4 linked regions of the Drosophila melanogaster genome follow. The protein of the gene in region 2 interacts with the protein of the main gene of each other region in a pairwise test. Each region holds a gene or a part of one and is shown on either strand. Other genes may lie near its edges.

What was found.
Region 1: the proteins of tio (region 2) and Mtp interact in a two-hybrid assay, tested with the Drosophila melanogaster proteins (one large-scale study listed by BioGRID).
Region 3: the proteins of tio (region 2) and Neu2 interact in a two-hybrid assay, tested with the Drosophila melanogaster proteins (one large-scale study listed by BioGRID).
Region 4: the proteins of tio (region 2) and GATAe interact in a two-hybrid assay, tested with the Drosophila melanogaster proteins (one large-scale study listed by BioGRID).

What each region holds. Positions count from the first base shown.
Region 1 is NT_033779.5:20,918,584-20,924,454, forward strand, and holds Mtp (microsomal triacylglycerol transfer protein), read right to left. Parts: upstream 4,294-5,871; 5' UTR 4,170-4,293; coding exon 4,103-4,169; intron 3,489-4,102; coding exon 2,689-3,488; intron 2,634-2,688; coding exon 1,703-2,633; intron 1,644-1,702; coding exon 1,103-1,643; intron 1,036-1,102; coding exon 868-1,035; intron 810-867; coding exon 656-809; 3' UTR 511-655; downstream 1-510. UniProt on the Drosophila melanogaster protein: Catalyzes the transport of phospholipids such as phosphatidylethanolamine (1,2-diacyl-sn-glycero-3-phosphoethanolamine) and phosphatidylcholine (1,2-diacyl-sn-glycero-3-phosphocholine) between membranes.
Region 2 is NT_033779.5:22,017,502-22,025,211, forward strand, and holds the start of tio (tiptop), read left to right. Parts: upstream 1-1,706; 5' UTR 1,707-2,533; coding exon 2,534-2,589; exon of another isoform or gene 2,590-2,753; intron 2,754-3,186; coding exon 3,187-5,642; intron 5,643-5,864; coding exon 5,865-6,427; 3' UTR 6,428-7,710. UniProt on the Drosophila melanogaster protein: Tiptop (tio) and teashirt (tsh) have, on the whole, common activities. Tio and tsh repress each other's expression and tsh has a crucial role for trunk patterning that is in part masked by ectopic expression of tiptop.
Region 3 is NT_037436.4:21,488,329-21,492,192, forward strand, and holds Neu2 (Neuroectoderm-expressed 2), read right to left. Parts: upstream 2,259-3,864; 5' UTR 2,152-2,258; intron 1,723-2,151; 5' UTR 1,674-1,722; coding exon 525-1,673; 3' UTR 522-524; downstream 1-521. Other genes in the region: CG7202 (uncharacterized protein), read right to left, coding at 3,120-3,859.
Region 4 is NT_033777.3:16,010,325-16,018,309, reverse strand, and holds the start of GATAe (GATAe), read right to left. Parts: upstream 6,037-7,985; 5' UTR 5,572-6,036; coding exon 5,527-5,571; intron 2,083-5,526; coding exon 1,745-2,082; intron 1,602-1,744; coding exon 668-1,601; intron 600-667; coding exon 104-599; intron 46-103; coding exon 1-45.

The sequences.
Region 1 (5,871 bases), 1.1 Mb from region 2:
AAGTTTGAACTATTTAATTTGTCGCGCCTTTCAGCTTGCAAATAGAAGTATTTACTTTAGACAATCGGATGACGCTTTTGATTTCGCATTTGTTTGCGACTGTGTGTGTGCGACGAGCCTTCTAATTCCGACAAAAAGAAGAAGAGCACCATTCGGTGGCCTAATTTGTTTCACTTCTCCGGAATCAAGCTTTTCCGATGCCTGCTTCTATTAACCTTTATTTAATATGACTCGTGCGTTCGACGATATTTTTGCAGTAGTTATTTTCTTTTCGTGCTTGTGGAGTGCACCTCTTTTATGCCGCGTTTGAAGAAGAAGCACAACGTAGTAGTGTTTGAATGTACTGCGGAATTTAGGGATGGGAATGCGTAGCTCTTGCAATCGATAGCTCGATAAGTCCCCTTTCGCGTTTCGCAGCACTTGGGCGGGATTTTTAAATCTAAGGTGTGACTATTGTGAATCGAGAAAAAATGCACATTTCCACTTTTCCAGTAATTTTCGAGTTGCTCAAAAGATATTAAAAACTTGTTGCATTTGAAAATTAAATGGTCTTTGTTCGTTTAAGTTTACAACTATATCGAGTCTTAATCTCTGAGTTTTCACATAGAAATATAGTTTTTATGCAAGGAATCTCCAATAATCTCTTGAGTAGAATCTACAAGTCCCTAAAAATGAGGTTGCACATTTCGTTGTTTTTTTGGTTGAGGGCAAAAGTGCAGCCGGCAGTTTTGTGGGAGAGTGTAGAGCGCACATGTTTGGCATAAGGACGATCAACAGACTGCAGGAAAACCGAACGAACGTTGGTTTGTCTGTGAAGGAGGCTTTCAATTAGCATGTGAGTCATTAAAATAGTTCTAGCAAACTTACTTGAGAAGCTGTTCAGGTCGCTGGAGTTGCATGCACAATTTAATGCCGCTGTAGAAGTCCAAGTCCGCATTCAGACTCAACTTTGGTTCGTGGGTGATGCTGAAATCCTGCACTAATTTCGCATACGTAAAGCCAACGGCCAAATGACCAAGAACAGCGCTGCCAGTGCTATAAGCCAAAAGTTAATCGTGAGTTAAATAACATTCCAATCAAATGCTTTGGCTTTTTCACTTACTTCTGCTGGATTTCCGTCTGGGCATTTCGATTCCACAGGCTGAATCCCACCTTGCCATTGAGATCCACACTCCTGGCGCCCAGAACTCGCCAGTGGAGCGTCGCCCCGGAGGTCAGGATTATGTAGTGCTCGTTATCCTGGGACAAAGTGGTTGCCTGGTAAGCGGGCGTTGAGTCCGAGGCACTTCCTCCCCACACGTGACCCATTAGCTCGGTCTGACCGCTGAAGAATACTAGGGGTCGCAATTGAGCACCCTGCACACTGATCTCCATGCCCGCGGTGACCGCTTCGTCTTCGCTGAACTCATCATCCGCCGGGATTGCATCATTTCCATCGCCGGAGTCACCATCGCCTACCAGCGAGCCCAAGCCGGCAGTGTAGATGCCCAATTTAAAGCTGCTGGCTTGGGAACGGCCTGCGTGGAGCAGAAATTCCACGGAGCCACGTTTCAGGATTCCCTGATACACTTCCTGGGTACTTAGCAGGGTTTCGTTGAAGGCTGGAGCCTGGGAAAGCTGACGGGTGAGGACTGTCGTAAGACCTGTAAGTATTAAAGTTCATAATTGTTTGAACAGTGTCATTAGGAAATTAGGTACTCACCCTTTTGTCCCAGCACATTGTAGTTGTTTACATGCCTCCGCTTGACAAGCTCCGATTTGAACAAAGCCCTAAATCGCGGGCACTTCTCAGCCAGCATTCTTAGCTTCTGCAGCACGTATGTTTTGATCTCAAACTGGCGATCATTGGAGGCTAGGTAATCCAAGAAGTTGCCCAATTGCTCCTGAGTTGGCCGGAGGGACAGGATAATATCAAGAGCCAGAGTGCGAGCGGAGCTATCAAAGCGACGCTTTCGCTGGTAGAATATGCTCTCGAACTGCAAGCGATGTGAAGAGTTAAAGCTACCTAGGGGAAAGGCTTTCAGAGCCTGTAAGGCAGCCACCGATAAATTGGGAGCCTCGCCAGTTTGAGCGTGCTCCAGCAGAGCTTCAATGGTAGCAGGATCCTGGAGATTTTGCAGAGCCCTTATGTACAAGGTAGGCTCCTTGGAGGTGAGACCTTGCAGTAGATAAGAACGCACTTCCTTCAACAAAGGATCTTCAACATCTAGTCCGCTTTGGCGGGTCAAGGTGGCCACGGTTTGGATAACGCTTTCCCTCAGCTTTAAATGCTTTTTGATAGATTCCTGTTCTAGCAATCCAAACAAGTGCTCAACTATTTTCCTGTCTGGATGGGTGGCGACCGCCAGGGACTGCAGGTATTTCTCTAGCAGATCCAATTGCTCGCTTGTGGTTTCCGACTCCTTGTAAAGGAATCCAAAGGTGGCATTATGAGCATCGAACGTTTGAACAGCACCCAAAAGATCCACCAACTGGGGCAGAACTTCTGCGTGTTCCGTAAGTAGATCTTCAAATTGTTCTTGCCTTGTGATGCGAGCCAGGGGAATTAGTTTTACGTACGCAAGAGCCAGCGAGGATTTGCCCACGTCGGCGGATTGCAATTCCGTCAGAGAGGCCTTTAATTGGTCCTCCAGCTGGAAGAATATATTTTTAGTTCAGCAATCCCCAAATTTGAAATTATTTACATACCGTTTGCTCTTTGATCGCACTGATCATGCCATCTACATCGGACTCTAGCTCAAAAACGCGATACCATTCGAGCAGGCTCTGGATGGCCTTATCTAAGCTGCCTAGTTGCAGTTGCTTGACTTCCTCCGATCCTTGCGAGACGTGTTGCAGAATCAACGAACTCTTCACGAAGCTTCCCACATCCGGTTTGGCAGCTAGATTGAGGCGGTGATTCTCCTGAGACTCTGCATGCAAGAGTGTGCCCTCTGAAGAGAGCTCGTAGAAGACCGTCTCCTGGGCTTGCTGAGTAACTCCAAGAGCTTCTTCTGGGTTATAGTTGACCCTGAGATCCCACAGAGAGCAGTCCCTTTTGGTTTTCTCCACTTTCGTGGATGATTTGACATTATAGGACACACGACACAGGCCAGAAACATCCAGTTCCTCCTCCTGGGAAGCATCCAATCTGAGCTGCAGCAGGGAAGCAATTCCGCGCTCCAAGTTCAACAGGGATTGATCTTTGGATGTATGGGCGATGACCTTGTCAGGCTGTCCCCTAACCAGACTAATATAAAAAGGTCTATCGGGTATCCGGGTAATTGAGCGGGCTTTTCCAGAGGCGTCGACCTTGCTTCCGCTGATAAAAACCTCCAGTAACTGGTCCTCATCTCCACTCCAAACTGAGTTGATCTTGAGATCTGTCTCAAATGTATAGCTCGTCTCCGCGGAGCTTGAATCTCGTCCCAGTTCCTGGAGTATCACTTGATTCTGTAGCTTGAAAATTTGCTGACTGTTCGGAGCTATTAGGGCCGTTTTTCCATCCTCTACAGAAATGTGGCCGAAAAGAAATAGTAGAACACGTCATTAGTCAAACGAATTGTTATAACTTTCACCCAGAAGCAGCGCTACATGCTGATATGTATTTTCGTCGTTTACTAAGCCTGGGTCGAGGTTATCAACAAGTGGCCCTGCACAGTGGGCAGCGATAAGGCAAATAGTGGAAGCAACGTGTACGAGGGAGTGATAATCTGAAGGAGGGATGGGGTGATAGATAGCAAAGGTCGATGTGGATGTGTTTAAATCCGGGGATCTTTGGGAACAAATATGATGATGTTTATCTATGTTTCGGTTTTTAACAATTCAGGGTCGGGTAACTGCACGTTTTTGTCTAACTTTACAGAAACAAAACGAAACACCTGTGCAGGTCACATTTCCTTGACCTTCAATACTGTTACTTGCCCCACTGTAAAAACAGCTGCTTCAATTGGAAAGTGTGTCAGATAAAAGTTCTCTTTCGGCCTTTTGTTTGTGTGCGTAGGCGGAGGTGTGGCACTGTCAATGTTGTTGTTTATCGCCAAACGCTACCTACCACAAAGAGTTCATTCAACTTGATCAAAACCCATTTACCCAACTAATCGCAAATATTGGCATTACTTACCCAAAAGTCCCAAAAAGAGGGCCAGCAGTAGCAGGGTTCGCAGGCACTTCTTATTTTTGTTCTCCATTTTCCCAAGGTCTTTGTTCGATTCTGTACTTATATTAAACTGAGCAGAGGTAAATTAAACTTAATTCATTGATAATACCGAGCCGAGCCGGCAGGCGACGGAATTAAAAGCGGAATGAAAACAGAACGGAGCTGAGGAGCGAGATTCTGACTTGTGGTGACTTTAAGCAGCTGAGAGTCGCTGAGCTGGGCTGTGGTGAGATTGAACAGCTGGCGAGCAAGAGGGCGCCACTGTTACGGAGAGTGCCAGAATGTATGTAAATTATTCGAGCTTCTACAAACTTTTTTATTTTATTTAAATGAGTATACATGTTATTATAACCTCCAAAAATATTCATACTATATTCATGTAACAGGCACAAGGAAGCGTTTCCGCGCATATTAAGTATATACATTCTTGATCAGGATCAATAGTCGAGTCGATCTGGCCATGTCCGTCTGTCTGTCCGTCCGTTTGAACGTTGAGAAGCCAGGAACTTTAAAAGTTAAAAAGTTGAGATTAGAAACAAAGATTCTAGGGACATACAGGCAGCGCAGTTTGTTGATCCATGTCCCACGCACACTCTAACGCCCACAACGTTTCACGTTTTTGAACCGTTTTTCGGTATTTTTTCATAATGGTATTAGTCTTATAAATGTCTATCGATTTGCAAAAAACTTTTTGCCACGCCCACTCTAACGCCCTAAAGTCGCCAAACCTTGCACGTCCACACTTTAGAACAATTTTTTTTATTTATTTTATTACCCAATATCTACCGATATCCCAGAAAAATTATGAAACTTCCGCGTTTGCATTCACACTAGCTGAGTAACGGTTACCTGATAGTCGGGGAACATAGACTATAGCATTATCTCTTGTTTTTAATCTGATGTAGCTTAAGTATGACTGTAAATGTCTAAAGTAAGGCTGAGTTAATAAACGCTTAAAACAAATGTATGTATGTTCATCTTTGGATATACATATTTGCTTTTGGGGAACAACTACGGATATGGTTATCTTTCCACGGGGTTCTATTTTTTATATTTTTAACTAAGGATTGGCGACTGGACCGTTGTTCAATCACTATAGCACTGAAAAAGTTGGCAGCCTCAAAACTTCAAACTTTTGGCAGGTCTCCCTTTTTAAGTCACTGATATATAATTCTTTATTCAGTCTACATCAATTTCAATTGTGATTTTTCGGTAAATATTGTTACGATAAAAATGGGAACAGCAAGCGCGTTACCTTTGAAACAGCCACCTTCCCACGACCACCAGCCGCGTCTGAACGAGGTGACCCAAAAGTTTCTCGCCGATTTGGTCGAGGAGAGCCAGTGATTGTCCGCGGAGTTTCCACTTTGCGCACTGCTAATTGCCGAGGGTAAAATCAATTCGGCCCTTTACAGGGTATTTTAATGGTATTAATCCCACATTGCAGCTGTGGACCGTGTCTATGGCACTGGACGTATTCCCGGCAAGGAGTTATACGCAGACGTGTACAAGCAGAAGCCGATAAAGATTACCCAAAAGGTCTTCGTGCCCGTTAATCAGTATCCCAAGGTGGTTTTTTATACAATTAGCTATCCACTCCGACCGCAAAATGAATCCTTACACTTGCGCAGTTCAACTTCACTGGCAAGATCCTGGGGACCAAGGGGAATGCTCTCTTGCGCTATAAATTCCCACAACAAATATTAATCTTAATTTTTGATTTGCATGCCTAT
Region 2 (7,710 bases):
CCAAAACTAACGTCAAAACAATTATAAAATCGATGTACACGATATTTACACGACGTACATATTTCTAAGTTACAGGTTTCTAAAAATACAAAGTTTTTTTCTCAATTTAAGGAGTTTTTAATTCATGGCTAGAAACCCGAACAATAAGAAATCTTACTAAAGTATAAAAACATTTGTTTTTAGCTTTTTTACGCTATTTATGTGTATATTATATTTGATATATATATTTAATAATAATTCAAAAATAGTAGGCCCAATGTATAACTTCATTTTCGTTAATAATTTTTGTTGAAAATAAAATTGTCTCGTGGTCCATAAATTATGTATGCTTTTATAAGTCCCTGACCGTCATGCGGTTATTTAAAGTAAAGTAATTTCTGTATGTTACCATTTATTAATAATTATCTAAAAAATTAGCCAGAGAGAACGCCGACTCATAGATACCCAATAGTGCGGACGAAAGTGGGCGTTGCAGTTTTGGGCGGTTTGTTGGCTCTGTCTGTCCATCTGACCGCCCAAAGATCTTAGGAAGTATAAAAGCTAGAAGGTTGAGATTAAGCATACAGATTCTAGAGACAGACGCAGGGCAAGTTTGACCTACGTTGCCATGCCCACAAACCGTGGGAACCTGTCACGATCACACTTTTAAAAAATAGCTTGATTTTTCTTCGTTTTATTGTTTGTCTTGCCAATATCTATAGGTATACCAAACAAACCATAACTTTACCGCCCACACTTTTGAACAATTTTTAAGTTTTTTCTTATTTTATTCCCCAGTAGAATTATTGAATCTCGCTTTTCCATTGGCTGAGTAATGGGTATCTGATAGTTGGGGAACTCGACTATAGCATTCTCTCTTGCTTTAGTTTTAAATAATTAATATTCTAACACCAATGAAATAAGAATTTTAAATATATATAAATAAATTCTGTAAGCGGATATGCCTTTCTTTCTCGCTCCTACCTTTAAAGAGTGTGAAACGCCGAAGACGAACCGCAAAACTAATAAAGATGCGTAATGGCCGTCTGCGCACAAGTATTGGAAAATAATAACAGTGTATGAAAAGCGGGTGCACCTTAAAAGGCGGGACAAAGGTGCAGACCACAAGATGATTTCAGAGACCTCAAACCTCCCCTGAGCTTCCAAGTATCCTTTAGCGATGTGCATGCAACAATTGTTCCACAAGTGATTATGCCAGCAGTAGATGGCCATACAAAGGCAGAGGCAAGCAAACCGTTGTAGGAAAAAACTGCGCAAAAATGAACGCGATTCAAGTGCTGCAAATGAAAACTCTTTAACTTTAACAAACCTCCTCTCTCTCTTTCTCTCTTTCTCTCTGACGCATTGCTTCATTTTCAATTTCAATAAATAACCTTGATTTAAGCGGCAGCGACGTCAACGCCGGCAGAGCAGTCAGCATTTGACCAGCTGCAATACATGCACAAATGCGGGGGGACCTAGCGCTCACACACGGGTCAGACCGGCCCCTCCCCACACACAAACACCTGTCACACACCACTGTCTCTCACTCGCTCTCTCTGCAATCCCTCTGCTCTCAGTGCAGGAGAGGTAAGCGTAAGCGAGAGCCGCCGCTATAAATCAAAACAAAGGTGCTCGACAAAGGTGCGCATGCGTCGGTTAGAGCTTGAGAGCGAACGGTGCTCTCGCCTCATCTCATATCCTCTCTTTCATATATCATTTTAATGGGGAAACTATCTCTTTCTCTCGCTCAACTCAGTTGTTCTCTCTTCTGCTGTCGCTCTCGCTGCCCACTGTCAGCTCTCAACGTTCCGATTGTCAAAAAGATATTTCAGTCGAATGTTTTAGTTTCGACCTCGGCCGAGCTGGAGACTCATCTAACGGCTTTCTCAGCGGCAAGTTCGAAATCATGTCGCCTTTGAACGGTGGGTGGTGCAGCAGTAACGGTACATCGCTCGACCTACGACTAAATTGCGAGTGCAGAAAATAGTGTTCACGGAATTAACAGACCTCGAAAATCCAAGTGTAGGCGAATAAATAAACGAAATTATCGTGGAAAGCCATCAATAAATCACCAAATTAATAGCCCTGACGAGCACCCACGGCATACGCACAGCTGTTGTGTGTGCAAAGTGAGAAGAGGAAGCTAAAGGAAGTGAAATTGGCGGCAGTTTGACCGCAACAGCAATAAAATACGTCTGCAACCCACAAACGCACGCTCACATACACCCGTTCGTCATCGAATCGTCGTGGTCCTCCGCTTCCCAGTCCTCGCCCGCCCCTCTTCGACACACGAACCATTGTGACATTTGATTTATATGACGTGTGTGTTTTTGATAGAAGTTCAACACGAAACTGTCACACAAACACACGTATGCTCGCCGAGGAATTTATTCAGTGAACGAAAATAAAATCAGAGCTCCGTACGCACTTGGCCGCAGTGAAACGAATCCGCCACCATCGATGAGCAGGCGGACGAAAGTCGGAAGTATCGCCAGGCAGTCCAGTAATCAAACCTTTGGAGAGCGAGCCCGGATACCCAGTTTTCTACAAAATGATGCTGCACGAGGCCGTCATGCTGGAAATCTATCGCCAGGCGCTGAGTGCAAGGTGAGCGCTTCCTCCGATTTGCTGTTCCACGCCAATAGCGATTCGATACGGGGTTTCCCGAGGAGGTTGGGCAGTTCCCTTTGGAGATGCAGTGCTTTATTTCGATTATTTAGTCGAAAGCTGCATAAAGTTAATTGGGCATAAATAAAAGATATAACTAAAACAACGCAGGCGGCATTTTGAATCGAGTTTGTTCACCCTGCTGAAAAGTTTGTTGTGAATGCAACTTCTTGCTGTGCCGATTGATTAGTGTGAAGTTTACTCCATTTGGCACGGTTTGCGTTGATAAACGAAAAAATGCCGCTTAGAAAAGATCTTTCCTAGGTATTAAAATTTTTATTTTCTCAGCGCGATTAATGTGGCTCTTCGTATGAACAAATAATCAATTAGTCATTACAATATAATTATTCTGCTCCACAATGGAATGCTTGCTTTCCTAGTGATACCAAATTGACAGAAGCACTGTTGCTGTTTTAATGTCCGATATTTAAAGAGCTTAAAGTACGAAATTTTAAATAGAATATATATATATACCTTTTTTTCGCATGTAATTGTGACTCAATTCTAACTTCCATCACCTTCGAATTTTCATTTTAGTGAGTTAACTAGTCCGCGATGTCAGTCTCGCGATTCCAACACCTCAGCTGGAGCGGGTGCTGGAATGGCCGATGTCCGATGTCCATCGAATGAGTCGCATTGTTCGGCGAACGACCGTCTGACCCCAGCTGCAACGCCCACTCTCACGCCTACTGAAGCAACCATCTCCCCAAACTCGGTGGGACTTCCCCTGACGGCGACCCTTCCTCCTGCAGCTGCAGTTGCTCTGCTACCGCCCCAATCCGCCGCCATGGCCGCTTACCTAGCCGCTGCCCAACAAAATCACCTTCTGCTAACAAATCCATTGGCGGCAGCAGCTTCACTGGTCCAACATGCAACGCAGCAGGCAGTGGTGGAGGGGGAGGTGGAGTCGCCGGCCCTCGATTTTAGCAGAAAGCGGCCTAAGAGCCACGGAGACGACGATCAGGAAGAAGATCAGGAACAGGACCAGGAACAGGAGCAGGAGCAGGAGCCCGATCATGATGTCCAGTGCGATAATGGTCCTTTAGATCTATCTGTAAGCACAGGGAAAAGGCAAGAATCGGTTTCTCCGCCTGCCAGGAAGATTCCAAGAAGTATATCCGCAGATTACAAGTCACCTCTTCCACCTGGCAGCTGGATGCCCCCCATCAACCCATACTTGGCAGCTGTAGCGGCAAAGACGGGCGGACTGGGATATTCTAAGTTAGCACCCAGTGAAGCCAGCAAAGCGTTGGAGAAGATGACTGAGATGAGCCGATTGGAAACATCCCCAACAGCTGCCCGAAGCTTAGGCGCCACATCATCTGTAGGAGCAGGAGTGCCTGCGGGAGCTAGTTCCAACTCCGGTGGCCGGCACAGCGCGTGGCAGTCTCATTGGCTGAACAAAGGTGCTGATACTGCAAAGGATGTGTTTAAGTGTGTGTGGTGCAAGCAGAGCTTTTCAACTCTGGCTAACTTAACTGCCCACATGAAGGAGACTCAGCATTGCGGTGTGCAGATACCCTCGCCGTTGCCAACCGGAGGAGTCGGCACTCCGTCTGCTCCTCCTCCCACAAGGTTGGCCACTTCAGCCTCCAACTCGGCCTGTTCCAGCAGCAGTAGCTCCACCTCCAGCTCTTCAAACTCCTCGAAATCAGAGTTAAATATGCTAATTAAGGAAACTATGCCCCTTCCCAGGAAATTGGTGAGGGGTCAGGATGTTTGGCTCGGAAAGGGTGCGGAGCAGACCCGCCAGATACTTAAGTGCATGTGGTGTGGACAAAGCTTCCGGTCTCTGGCCGAGATGACCAGCCACATGCAGGAGACGCAGCACTACACGAATATCATCTCGCAGGAGCAGATCATTTCCTGGAAGTCGGGCGATGAACGGGAGAGGCCGACCAACACTGGAGTTCCGTCTACGTCCACCGCTGCTCCCTCTTCGCCGAGTTGCACAGCTCCATCAGTGAGTGCCGTGCTCACGTGTAAAGTTTGTGATCAGGCCTTCGGTAGCCTAAAGGAGTTAAGCACCCATATGGCCCAAAAATCGCACTACAAGGAGTCACCGGCTCCGTCAGCATCTCCTCCAGCTGCCGGCACTGGCAATCCGAAAAGAGGAAGGCAAAATCGCAACGAGAAACGCAAGAAATCCCTGCCGGTTAGGAAGCTTCTTGAGCTCGAGCGTTCCGGCTCGAATTCAAGTCTGGACTCAGCGCTAAAGCCCTTGAGGGACTTTGCTGCTGCCACCAAAATTACCTGTGAAAAATGTGGCAGTAAGATTGAAACTGCGTTGTTTGTCGAGCACATACGAAAGTGCCTGGGCGAGAGTATTCCAATCCCTCCCCGTCGATCTAACGCGGGAGTAGATCGCCTGCCAAGTCCCAGTCTAGGACTTGGCGCTGAAAAGCCACCATCAGTCCTTAATGCCCTGGAGCAACTTATAGAGAAGAGCTTCGAATCGAGAACCAGCAGAACCATGACACATGGAGGCTATTCCGAAGCTGGAACTCCGCTTGGAGCCAGCATCCTAAAGCGTTTGGGAATTGAGGACAGCAGTGACTACACCAAGCCCCTTATGGATGCCCAGGCGATGCACCTGCTCCGATCCTCCTTCGCCTCGAGAGACCGCAGTGCCAGCGAATCGAGCTCAGCCAGTAGGGTGGAATCATCCTACACCCCAGACAGACAGCAGGCCACCCCCCACAAAAGTCCAGATACTCCTGCTCCGCCTCCTCCCCCACCGCCAACCATCAAAGCTGAACCACTAGAGGCGGAACCCTTGGTGGGTTGCGATCGGGAGGGCTGCAGTCCTCGGCAGCAGATCCAAGTGAAAAAGGAGTTCAGCATGGAAGCATGTCGGGAGAGTCCTCGGTCTGTAAGCAAATCACCTGCGCCGCAGACCGAAAGATCTCCACCAGATAATGGCAGTCTACTGGCGTTGAACTCCATGTTCGATCAGCTCAGTGGAGTGGAGAACAGCGGCAATAACAACTCGGGTAAGAGAAAAAACTCAATATAAAAAAATTGTTTTAAAGCGTAAGGCTTAACTAGTGACGAGGTATTAGTCAATTGCCAGAAAATCGATTGGCTCACAACCTTGTAATCTACGCATGCCAATATTATTAGTTATTAATTATATATTAACAATTATATTTCTATACAAATGAAATAAAATAAATAATAATGAATAATGAAAACTGAACTAATCATTCTTCCAGGGCATTGCTTTAACAACAACAACAGCTGCAGTAGCGTCTCCGCCCAGAAGCCAAAGGCCCATCCTCTAGCTGCGCTGCAGAAACTGTGCGAGACCACGGATCCCCCAAGCACTGGCCTGCGCAGCGCGTCCTCCGCCGGATCCTCCACAGCATCAGCAACACTTCCCTCAGCGAACGGTAACGACCTGGTGGCCTTCAGCTGGGCCTGCAACGAGGCAGTTCTGAGTGCCAGTAATGGTGGCTCCGCCGGCGATTCGTCCATCATTAAGTGCTCCTACTGTGATACCCCTTTTGCATCGAAGGGCGCCTACCGCCACCATCTCTCCAAGGTGCACTTTGTGAAAGACGCAGGCGAGGACTCGCCCAGGCTCAAGTCCCCCGCCGTTCAGAGCCCCAGGTCGATGCCATTGGCCTCCCCAAGGAGATCAGCTTCCAGGAGTCCGGCGACAGGATCTCAGCAGCCCCCTCCCTCGCCAACCATTAGCCCCTATGACGAGAGTCCGCAGTCAAAGTTCCTCAAATACACGGAGCTGGCCAAACAGCTATCCTCTAAAAACGCCTAAACTGCTGAAGAACGGAGAACTTGTAGAGAAGAGATGTCATCCATGAAAACAGTAGAAGAATCTATTAGCAAAAGTGCTTAGGGACGACTTAAAGCGAATTAACAAATTGGGTCACAGATTGCAGACACGTAAGCTGTATTTAATATTCAGAATTTATCCTTTGGACTGAGGCTACATTTAAATTGTTCATTTTACGAAGCCGACTGTTTAACGGTCGTATGAAATCATTCAATCAAAAGCCCAACATACTTTAAACTGAATAACCATCCTAGTTGATGGTTTAAATTAAAAAAAAAACGAGGATACTTTCGTCGATGCCTGTTAAACAAACTTTAGCAATCCGTTTGCAAATTTCTAAACAACTGCATTGATTTGTGATCATTATTCTGATCTGCACAGCTCTCGCTCTTTCGTCCGCTCTCTCTCCAAATTTCAAAGTTCTCACTGTCTCTCTCTTTGCCGCTGTACACCCAACAAGATTTCCCCTACTTTTGCTGAATTTAGCAGGAAATTTCCCCAGACCACAAGGCTCTCTCGTGTTGTTGTTTGTTCCCCTTCGTCAGTGACGTCACGGCGATGATGGTCTGCTCTTTATGGTTTCCCAATCGGACAGTCGCAGTCTAAAGCGCGAGCGAGAGAGGACTAGCAAGCTGGAAATTCAATTACCACCACTTTGACGAACGGCTGTCCATCAAAGCGAGTCGGACAGGGACGGCCATAGTGGCGGAGTGACGAAAGGCGACAACACGAGTTCGTCAAAGTGGAATTGGATGGTGGCGAGAGAGACAGGCATAGCACAGTGGGTGTGTAGAGAGCAAGAGAGTGAGTACTCCTACTGAGTGGGAAAAATGTGGTTCGTTTTCGAGTGCATTTGAATTCAGATTTGAGTGCACTCAGGGAACAAGCCAGCCATTACTTATTTATTTATCCGCAACTCCTTGTCACATGAATGAAAAGGAAAAGAGTGCCAAAAATCAAAACTGTTTAAATCTAGAAAGAAACCTAACCAGCTAAATTGGTTATTCTAAGCAATAACAAAACAAACGCAACGCAGTATACGTAAATCCTTACACTTAAACAATAACCTTAATGATAGAACCAATTAATGGTCGCGTGCAACTCTTAGCGAAGCACATGTAGCCCAAACGATGAAATGCATTGAATAAATGTAAATACTAGCCAATGGCATTTTCCTTCCATAAGTCTAAAGATTACCGATATCTACATCAATATAAAGCCACAGCAACGCATGTATACGGAAACAATTTTAAAATGATATATTC
Region 3 (3,864 bases), on a different chromosome or scaffold from region 2:
TTATATTAGTAGACTTCCTTTAATTAATTTACCGTCCCTAGCTAACCGTAGAACTATGCTTGGAACAGTCTTTATTTGTAAGCTTATTCGTGGGGATGTTGAGAGTCCCGACTTTATTAGTCGGCTTAACTTTTCGGTTCCAAGTAGATTCACTAGAAACTATATACCCCTTATCTTAAATCATTGTAGATCTAACTATGAGTTGCATGACCCTTACAGAGTTTTATGTTCTGACTATAATAGACTTAACTCTCTGCCGCTCTTAAAGCAATCGATTTTAACTTTTTTATTACATAATTAGATCCTACTAACAGTAATATTTAATATAGTTATTTTACATTATATTCATTTCCTCGTTCCTGTTCTCTTTTTTATATCGCGTCTATATCTTCTCGCGAATCGAGCCGTACGATACACGGCAGCGCCCCTCGGTCGGTTGGGCGGGAGGTGTGGACGTAGGACCCGTGCGAACAAAAAAAAAAAAAGAATCGAATTCTTTTAGCCTTCTCAAACGGTTCTTTCTTCTACATGCGATTTGTGCCCAGTTTTCCTGTGTGGGTTTGCAAGTGTGTTAGCAGTGCGGATTTCCGCGAAAAAGTCCTTGGGCAGCTGGAACACTTAAACGGTTTTCTTTGTGCGTTACTATGTGCCGGCTTAGATCCTGAAGATTTGCAAGGACCTTCGAGCAATGGCTTATTTTTGGTGTGTGATTTCAAGTGAGTGGACAGAGCCGAACGGTCAGTGAAAGTTTTTGGGCACTTACCACACTTAAGTGCCTTTGAGTGGCCTAGTGTTTTGTGAGCAGATGCTTTTGAGCTTTGAGAGCATCTCGCGTTCCTTGACAGGTGTCGCTTGAGATACGCATGTAGCGCAAAGTCCTTTGAGCAATGGCCACAAGTAAAGAGGCGTTCTTGGTGCACTCGCATGTGCATCCAAAGTTCATGTTCGACTTGAAAGGACTTCGAGCACTGGGAACACTTGAACTGCGTTTCATCAGTGTGCGTGGCCAAATGCTGCTTGAGAATTAAAGAAGTTAGAAAGCACTTTTGGCAGTATGGGCACCTTAACGATCCTCTTCTTTCGTGCATCTGTATGTGGGCCTTGAGGTGGTGCCCAGCTGTAAAGGACCTTGGGCAATGCGAGCACTGGAAGGGTCGTTCTCCTGTGTGGGTTCGCATGTGATTCTGAAGACCAGAGCTATAGCCAAAGGACTTGGGGCAGAGGGAACACGTGAAGGGACGTTCTCCTGTGTGTGAACGCATGTGTACCTTCAGATTTGATTTTACTTGAAAAGATTTAGGGCAGTGAGAACAGCTAAAGCCTGGTTTCTCCTTGGCCTTGATATCACATTCGTTAATATCAGGTTCATTGCCGGAATCGACGTCGTCGGCACCATCCTGGAGATCCCTCTCAGCTGCCTCCACTTCTTCTGAGCATCCGGATCCATCATTTTCACTCTCCTCCTCCCGTACATCCTTGAGGAAGCGGTAAAACTGGTGACTTCTCTCGTACGTTTCTATGATATCGAATGCATTCTGCGCATCCTCCAGACAGGACTTGCATATGGTGTTGGACAGTGGATCGTGCTTCTCAACTTGCCAGCCGGTGCACTTGTATATTATGTACGCAATGGATAGGCCCGGTTCATGAGACTCATCGAAAACACTGGCCATATTTTCGTAACTGACCAGGCAAACTCGGCATATTGACGATTCCATCGATCTGAAATGACACGAACTGTGTGAATATAAAATTGCGAATATACAAAATCGTGCACTTAAACGGTTTCAAAAAAGTATAATGGTTATTCCCAGATCTTTGAGTATTAGCGTTTCTGGAATCTACATCCTGAATGCTAAATACACTGAGATCTCAACTTTCAAACAAACGGACAGAATAGGTACGACTAGATCGTAGTCATGGATGACACATACACTTTATAAGGTCAGTGACAAACGTCATCTTTTAGTTGCATAGCATCAAAAAGAACCCTCTGCACTCTTTCTTATATTTAATAATCAATGAAATTTAATACTTGTGTAGAGCTTTAAACATAAATTGCACTAATTTCCAAATACATCTTGGTTTATTTATGACTTTGCTAACTCGGCACGAATTGACCCACAATGGCAATCCTTACCTTAAACTTACCTTATTTTCGTGTTTGTTCACGGCGAATGCGTATTTAAAATGTGGCAATAAGCACAGGAATTGGCAATCTGTAAAGATGTTGCTATGACAAGGGTTGTACTCCTTCTGAAGTGAATAGGTAAGTCGTAAGGCTTATATACAAACATGTCCCAAGGTCGTTTGGTTCTGTAAAATGGGCAACATAGCATATTTAACAATGTTACCTGGGTCAGGTGTCATCAAAGAAGGGCTTTCCAGCAGCTGCACTCATCTTTTTACGGTGCGTCCCAACTAATCTTACGATTTTCTGTAGATCCAAGCAGGTCAATGCATAATGTGATACATGCAGGTAAAAGTAACTATGGTTAAAGAAAAAATCTTTCCTTGGTCGACCCCAAAGTGCTAAATCATTATTGCTGAACTCTAAAACCATGTGTTTGTAACGAAATATACTTATTGGGGTGGTGGAAAACAGGGGAAAACCATTTACCCAATGACCAATAAAGCTAGCCATACCCTTCTATTCCCAATATACCCCATGGCGGAATCATTCTAGTAGCAAATTATTCAATAAAAAACATACAGTACAAAAAAACGAATAATTCAATTTTAAATACAAGACTAAAACAAAGTAAATGGCATCGATTTCTGGTGTTAATTAAGTACATATGTACATTATTAATAACTTTGTAAATCAAAAGGAGTAAGCGATTATTGCCTTTATAGATAATGTGCTAGAATTATTCCTTAAATTCCTTTTCTTGATGACATTAAAACACTCGAACCCCAAAGTTTTTAAAAACATTTATGTTAAATCAACTACAATAATAAAACTAGAAAGTAACCTATAGTCGAGCAAGCCTTATTTGATGCGATGCCCTTTTTCTATGGAACCATTTCCCTTGTATTACCAACTACTAAAGATAAACGTCGTTGAATTGCTAGTAACATTGTTTATTCCGAGTGAAATGGATGATTTTGAAGACTCCTCATATGAGGATGTTGTGGCACCGCATGCCCGTTAACATGGGCATCTTCTTTGGTCCGGAGATGAACCTTCCCGCCACCTGCAGGAACTCGCTCTGCCCCCGACCGAACAAAGAAGCGTTCTGGGTGAGCTCGACGTTCACGTGGTTCTCGGTCAGGTAGACCTGTCCGTTGATGTGGAAGTGGCTGTTGGTAATGTAGATGTTTTGTGTGGAGGGGGAGTTGACCTTTTCGGCGTGCAATGAGCCGGAGACCGTACCGGTCAGGGAGTCCGATCGCCTCCACACCACCATTGATTCTTCGGAGGACTTGGCCATTGCTACCCGGTTTCCGGATCTGACACTTCCATAGCTACTGGAGCTACTGCTGATATCCAGCTCGTGCAGAAGTTCGCGCATTTCCAGACACTGCAACTGCAGGATACTGAGCTGCTCCTTCAGATTTTCATTGTGGTCCTGCAGGAGATCGAAGGGATTCGAATCGTCCTGCTGGCTTGGCGCCTTCTGCTCAACAACTGGGTCCTGCACTTTGGCAGCAGATTTGGGATGCAGCGCCTTTTTGCTCTTGAAATACCTTTTGGCCTGCAGCTCCGCCAGTTGGAGCAGCTTGGACAGACCAAAGGTCAGGGCAAAGATCACGCCGAAGCTCGTCGCAAACTGGTAGGTGCTGTCGGAGCTGTCGGAGCTACTCTGCTCTGAGGGACTGTGGCACAGCTGCGGCTCAAACGTAATCCCAGGACGCTCTGTA
Region 4 (7,985 bases), on a different chromosome or scaffold from region 2:
GATACAGCGGACTGTTGGCCATCAGGTTGACTCCCTGCGACATGCCTGGTTGGGAATTGGGATTAGTTTATTGCATACTGTAATCCCTGGCAGGTGTACTCACTCGGCAGCGGTGCTCGGTGCATGGGTGCTCCTCCGTTGTTCTTAGGCTTCCGTTTGCGCTTCTGGATGCCCTCCTTCTTCATCGACAGCGGTCGGTTCATGTTGTGCAGCTTGTAGTACAGTCCGCAGGCATTGCACACCGGATTGCCCTCGTTGTTGCGACGCCACAGGGTCGTCGAGTTGGTCTGACAGTTGGCGCAGGTGACCCCGTTGCGCCGGTTGTTGGGGGCGGCGGCGGCCTTGGGCTTCGCCTGCCTCTGGGTTATACGGGGCGCCATCCGCATAAAGGCCGGGCAATTGGGACAGAAGTACTCGCTACCCTTCCGCAAGAACGGCCCATGGCAGTTCTCGCACTTTAGCTCGTGGTTGGGCGACGATGTGGACGAGGCGGTCACCAGACTTCCATCGTACTGCCCTATGCTGCTGGCGGGCGGCCAGTGGGAGGTGCTCATATTGCCGCTCCCGTATTCATCAATAACCTGCGGATGGAAGTTGCTCTGTGCAGCATGCGGGAGAACAGTTAGTATGTACCGCCTCAAGAACCAGTAACTTAAATTATACTTACAAATTGAACACTCTGGTACTCCGGCGGGGCGGGAGATGCCCATAAAGGCTCGATGCCGTTGCCGCCCTCAAAAGATATCGTCTGAAAAGTAGCCGGTCCAGTCTGGCGCAGCAGTCCAGTCTGATTTAGGCCAGACTCGGACTTGGCCAAGAATTGACCGGTGCCCGGAACACTGTAAATAGTGTTTCCCTGCTGAAGCGTTGCCGCATAGCTATTGCTACTGAAGCTGGAGCTGGGCGGGAAGGGGGCATATGCGTTGCCTAGGTCGGCGTAGGTCTTGGACTCGTTGGCATGCACACTGCCATCCACCACGGGTACATCGTAGTACATATTCGAGGCGGATGTCTCCGGTCCGGCGGTGGTGAAGCGTACATCCTCCGTAACGAAGCGCACGGTTCCACCATGCGAACTGGTGGCAATGTGAACCGTCTGGGCCGCCGCCGATGCTGCAGCTGCCGCCTGGTGTTGGTGGTGTTGCTGCTGATGCTGCTGCTGCTGGTGCTGCTGCTGCTGTTGGTGGTGATGCTGCAGTGCCTCCGCCTCGCTGCTGATCACTATGGTCTCGCCGTAGCTAGCTCCGTTGGGTGTGGGACATTGCTGTTGCTGCTGATGCTGGTGTTGCTGCAGTTGCTGCTGCTGTTGTTGCGACTCCCCCGTCGCCTCTCCCTTCTCGAGTGTTTCGATTTTGATCGCGGCCACATCGTCACCGTTGCAGATAATAGGATAGGCGAAGATGGTGCCCGGCGGAGCTCCGGCAGCAGCTCCCACCTGTTCCGTCACCTCTGCGTTGCGTGGCGCCATCTGCACGTAGTGAGTGGCTCCGGGAGATTGGTGTGCACTGCGCTGGTACTCGATGTGGCTATCCGAAGCAGATCCTGAGCTCGCGTTGCTGGCGTTTGTGCTCGGTTCTCCTTCACGAGCTTCGTTTAATTCACTGAAATGTTGTTAATAACACTGTTAAATAACAATGGTAAATTGTAACTATCGATTGCCATTTGCATTAGATGATTGTGTTTAAAAATGAAATTTGTGAATGCTTATGTTCTTAGGAAAAGAAGGTCTCCAGAGGTTACTTACAGTGTGCCGGCTGTGGTGAGAATACGGCGCTGGTTGCGTGGCACCACCACGTACTGCTCCTCCGGTTCGCTGACGCCCGCTTGGCCCGTCTGCACCACCACGCCCACCGATGTTGCGGCTTGCTGTTGGTGTTGTTGCTGCTGCTCCTGCTGCTCATCCAGATTGTTGGCCGTCTGCTGGGCCAACTGATCGGCGCCGTTGCTGGACTCGAGTTTGATTTTGTCCAGCAGTTGAAGCTGCTGCTTGGTTAGAGCCTGATGCTGTTGCTGTTGCAATTGTTGCTGTTGCTGTTGCTGTTGCTGTTGCTGCTGCTGCTGCTGCGTTGTCTGCTGTTCCATCTGCAATGAGCAAGCGACAAGTGTTGAATGCCATGTTTCGCCCGGCTCGTCTCAAAAGTGTGGCTCCAGTTCCGGCCGTTGCAGTGCGAACTGCCCGCCTCGGTTTCCGCCACAAAAGTCAACAAGACGCAAGCCCAACCAAGACCGCTGAGACGGACTTCAAAGACACCGCCCGCGCTCGACTCACAGCTCAATTTGTCGCCTACAACCGTAAAGTACCAGAAACTGAGCCGAACGGAGACGGGCTTGGAGGCGACCCCTCTCCTTTCTACCACTCAGTTGCTCAGTGTCAACATTGTCGAACACATTTTTCACTTTTATTCCATTTCATTTCCACCAGCAGAAGTATTTGCTCACAGAACCCTAAACTCAGAGCGGTGCCTTGGTTTCGTTTTCATTTTTCTTGTGTATTCGTGGTTTTTTTTTTTTTTTTTTTTGGTTTAGTTTGGCTTTTGGCGGAAATTAAACTTGGCCATAAAATCGCTTTGCTTTCCCCGCCATACGTCAGTCGCTTTTGGGTTTATGACCTCATTCCGTTGGGGGTGGCACTTCCACTTCCACTCCAAAGCCCCATACCCATCCCCATCCCCATTCCCATCCTCGAGCTTGTGTCAACACATTCGATCGTCACTGTCACCTGATTCACGATGCGGCCAGGTTGAAATTTACCGCCAGTCCGCTCATGACAAGTGCCATATAGCTCAGAGGCTTTCAGGTGGTTTCCACCTTTACCATGGCTATAAATATACCAAAAAATGTGTGTGCTTATGTGTAACCATCACCACCGTCAATTGAGGAAATCCACAGCAACACTAAAGGAAAATTTTTGTGGCCATTGAAATATATTGCAAAGATAATTGCTTTTAACTGAGATATAACCATATACTTGTACAGGTGTTTTTTTTTTCCGAAAATAATCACCACGCTGAATTGATTTAATACATTCCATAAAAATCCCCACTCTCCCTTTATATGAAAAAACTAATACTTTATCTTCCATTTAATGAAAATTGATTCACTTTCGCAGAACTTTAGGTTGACGTGCCACAAATGATTGATACATTTTTTGCGTGGACACAAGCCAAGTTCAATGATGATTCAGTTGGTGACAAGCCGTAAAAATGAAAAATCTAACGCTTACCAAGGTACAAAGTTTAATTACTTATGTGGAAGGCATATAAATGGGGGACGAAAGAGTTCCATGGAAACTGATTGCATTCCGCCGGCGGTGATGACCGTGCCAAGTTTTCAACGTCTTGGCCAAAGTTCAAAGAATTCCCTGGATGGAAAGGGTGCGAGATAATGTGGTGCAAACGTCACTTCAGACAATCGTCTGCCCGAAATGCAGATAAACCCGACTTTGAGTGTGTGTATATAGTAGTAGTACGATAGGTAGGCCCCCATGCACGTGCCATGTACCGCGAAAAAGTTAAGATACTACGGCCGAACGATACGGACAATATCTTATCCGGGCGCTATCAATGTACATAATCAGCTGCTGCTGCTGCTGCTGGGACTGAGAGGTCATGGTTGGTATCCCCCAACTGCCCGCACCCACTCTCAGTTGCGGCTACGTCATCAATAGGGACAGATATATCCAAGAATTACAAAAGTTGTGCAAGCGATGTTTGTCACCCGAGAATGGCAATGGCATGCGCTATTTGCTCGGCTTAGTCAAGAATCGTTGCGAGGGTGTGGAGTCCGCTGAACTTATGAATGAAATCTGCCCAGTCACACCCACAACCATACACACACACACACACACGTACATTTCGTACTTTATCTATATAAACAAAAGATATTGACTATATAATCGCACCTCGTTTCGCTTTCGTTGAGCTTGGGTTCGTGGTTGAGCAAATTTCAAAGGCAGCTCTGACCAAACATTTTAAGGCATTTAGAACTGAATAGAACTATAAAACTTGAATATAATGCAGTTGTGATGAATGCTATTTTTGTTAAAATTCTAAATTTCTCGAGGAAATTCTTTGCCAGTTTTACTTTTTATTTTAGACTTATAAAAAAATATGAACAATTTCTTGGGTAAGACTGCTTAAAGGCTAAAGATGTGAGAGCACTTTCAAAATATCTATATAATTAACAAAAGAATGGGAAGTAAATAAATGTACCCATTTTTGGATATACATTTATACCCTTTATATCTGCCCTCGTTAGAAGATCCTTCGATTAATTAAACTTCACTGCAGTTGGCTAATGAAAGTGAGATAAGACTCTCGACTGCCAGCTGCATTTACAGCTCTATTAAAGGGCCATCAATCGCAACCTTCGCCCTCTCTCCTATCAGCCATCATCCACTGTCAACTGGCGACGCGTGTCTAATAAAAGTATCTGCAACTGGAACTGCAACTATCGATGCCGCCATTGAGCAACTGTTAAGGGACTGTTCTTCCATTGGTCGAAAGGACACTTCCGGCAGGATAAAAAGTACCCCCAGATGAGCCAAGGGTTGGCATTCATTCACAAAACCAACCCCAAGCCCATGAAGGATACGCTAGAGACAGGGATAAGGAGCAGGACCAAAGCGAGGTGATAAGATTGACATAAATTTCACATTATCCGTGGCCAGCAAAAAATGGGTAAAAACAGTCCCTTTTCATGAATGAAGAGGAGCGAGCAGTTGAAAGTCGGCTGCGTGTTTCAAATTTTATTTTTGTCAAAGGTATTTTGACGCCACCTTCGATCGCAGCTGAATTTGGACCTCATAAAGATTAGCCATCTTTCCACATTTAACTTGCTTTCTTGTTGCCCCGTTTTCGTACCCATTCTCGTTTTCTTAATGGTTTCGGTTCGTTTCGGTTCGGTTTTTCTTCCAAGAGCAGACACCAAAATAAGTGTCGCAGTTTGCCGCTGCATCCCAGATGACTCATTCATTATAAATCAATTTGTCTTATCTTATTTCCCTGGCGCTAGAACTGAAAAAAATCCATATCGCTGCCGTTTGCGGGCTAAAATCATTTTCTGGCTCGGTACACCGAAGGATGTAAAATCTATATGGCTATTCGAGCTGTAAATACCTTTGAAAGCTCTTTATACTCCGTTAATTAATAAATTAATATTTATTCGTGCCTTGCGACTGATCTATAAACTTGAACTATCTGCTTTTAATGACCCTATATGGCCTGTCTATTTAGCTTAATGAACTTGTGTGAGAAAACGTTAAAAACTTTTATGATCTTTCAACAAAGTAGAAATGATAGATAGGCTTATAGAGATCTCGTAAATGAGCATCAAAAAGGTATTTAAATGTTTTTAATAGAGTTCACGTATAGTTGCTTTAAGCGGTCAGGTTGATATTCTCCATTCCGATATGGATTTTAAACGGAATTGGTTTTGAAAAGAAAATACCGACTTGGCAAACTTAATATATAATACCCAAAAATTACGCTGACTATTTTTGAATAATTATAAGTTTATTTTACCCACCTTCAGCTGCATGTTTACACTCGGTGAGATAGTTTTGCAGACCATCAAATTGAAGTTACGCCGCTTCTTTGCGTTTCTTCCAGCGTTTTATCTAAGATTGGTTTTTATCACTTGATTTCAGTTCTGTTGTGTTTTCAAAAATTTATCACAAGCACGGCTTGTCCAGGTGTTTGGTTCACTTCTCCTATCAATCTGGGCGCCCGAAAAAGTGCCGCGCAAAGTGAGCAAGTGGGGAAAATTGGCGAAAATTGACGAAAATTGGTAACTTGGGAAAGTAGGAACTTTGGAGCTTTGGGGGCGATCTAATGCTGTCACCCGTGGGGCGATTGTGGTTGTGGCCCGCGCGCAACCTTTGCCAGTTAGCAGTGATACGAAGTGCTATTTTTTCGAGACCAACTGGGCTCTGGTGGTGGCACTGGTCTCCGGTCTATGGGCTCGATACACTAAACACTGAGCACTCTGAGCACCAAGCACCTCACTTGCGATGACAACAACGACGGCGACGCAATGCGGTGCCTGCGGCGCGTTTGCCGCCCAATTAGCTACCCACACCGATGAAGATCCAGCGCCTCTGCGGTTGGGCGGCCTCACACCTGTGTGGGTGCGTGGTCCTGTCGGTGTGGCAGCGTTATGATTTATTCTGTACCGCCTCGCCTGGTATTGGTTATCTTATCGACACACATGCGATAAGATACGCAACGAGTGTTGGTGCCACGGTTGCGATAAGTATCCGTGAGATACAAATTGCGCCTGCGCGCTCGGCCGATTTTCCAACACACCTATGTTACACCAATGTTCCGAGGTTTCCGAAGAGTGGCGTCAAGAGGCCCACCAGCCGGCACAGTTCAGCCAGCACCACATTTGATTCCATTTCCACCCTTCAGCGCTCCTCACCCTCGCCCCCTGCTATTTGTCAATTGTGCAATTTAGTCTAGCGCATTTTCTAATTGCACTCATAAAACACTTTTCTGGCAAACTAATAAACTCGAGCAACGTTAGTCAACGTCAACAGAATATCATCGGATCGGGCTTGGGCCTGGAAAGTGGGACTGGGCATGGGCATGGGCACGGAAACTTTATATGACCCCACGAACAGTCGCCCGAATGTGGGCCGCTTTGACAGCTCGACTGCTCGGTTGTTGCGCTCCACTTCCACTTCTCCAGTTCTTCTAGTTCTCCACACTTCACAATCCACTCTCGAGTGTTGTAACTAATAAACACCGCCGGAGGAGGCGGAGGTGGAGGGCAGGAGCACACGTGGTCGAGGATCAGGTGCGGCGCATATATTGCAAAACCCCTGAATTGTCACCAGCCAGGAAAAGATTGAGTTTGAAGTGGTTGGGTGATTGGAGTGCTTGGTCAGAAATCTGATATATTTTTCAACCTGTCAATTACAGATACTTTGTAAGCAGAGATGTATGTGTAGATAAATATTGTAAACATATCTTTACTATATATAGGGATGTAGTAGCTAAATAGTACATTTTATAATAAAATGTATATGAAAACCATGACTTAAATTCTAAAAAATTCAATCTAGGCTTATATGCTTAATGCTAAGCCCCTATGGCAATCCGTACCAACTCCTTGCTTTCTTTTCTTCGAAGAGCTGCAATCTGTAAGTTAGCCACATATCTTGGCCACCCAGCCAAGTTGGCCCAGCGAATCATAAATTGTTTATAGTTAAAGTCATAAAGCAAGCAGATATATGACGGCCATTAACATGCACAATCCCCTCGGAGTTGCTTATAATGCCACAATTACGGGCAACTTTCCGCTGCTCCCATGAATGGAAATCGAGTTGAGGCGATAATTTTAATTGTTGCAACGCATGCGGTGCATAAATCATGGGCAAATCTTAAGAGCAAAACCGGCAGACAAAAAGTATCTAATAGTAGCTACTGCTGCGTGTCGCGAAATATCTGTGCGGTGATTAATCACTCAAAAAGTTGACGGCTATGCCAGTTTCGATCGTTACAAATGGCGCTACACGAAATCAACATTACAGGAGATTAATGCTGAGGAGGAGGACTCCAAACTGGATACCCGGCCACAGGACTGACTCATCGAGGTGGCTCTCTTGCCACGGCAGAGCCGGGCAATTAATACCCTAATTGATGGCACCGCCGCGCCTAGCTTTAGGTGCTTTGCCGGCGAATTTACGACCCTAAGACGGAAGACTTAGGGGCGGCGAAACAGACAGAGTCTTAAGATTGCTGACCATGGCATATCGTGTACACCCGGAATCGTACACCCTTCAACTTGTCCACCTCCATGGAGTTTCAAGTGCTATGTCCGTGAAAGACCATAGAAGCGAACCAAAACCTTAAGAAACCATAGCCTAAAAGTTATCTAGCCTCAAGTGTTCTCGGCCAGTTGACAGTATCGCCGATCTTTGTCTGGAATGACGCTATGGAATTTAATTTTTATATATTCTTTATTGCGCTCTTGTTTTGGTT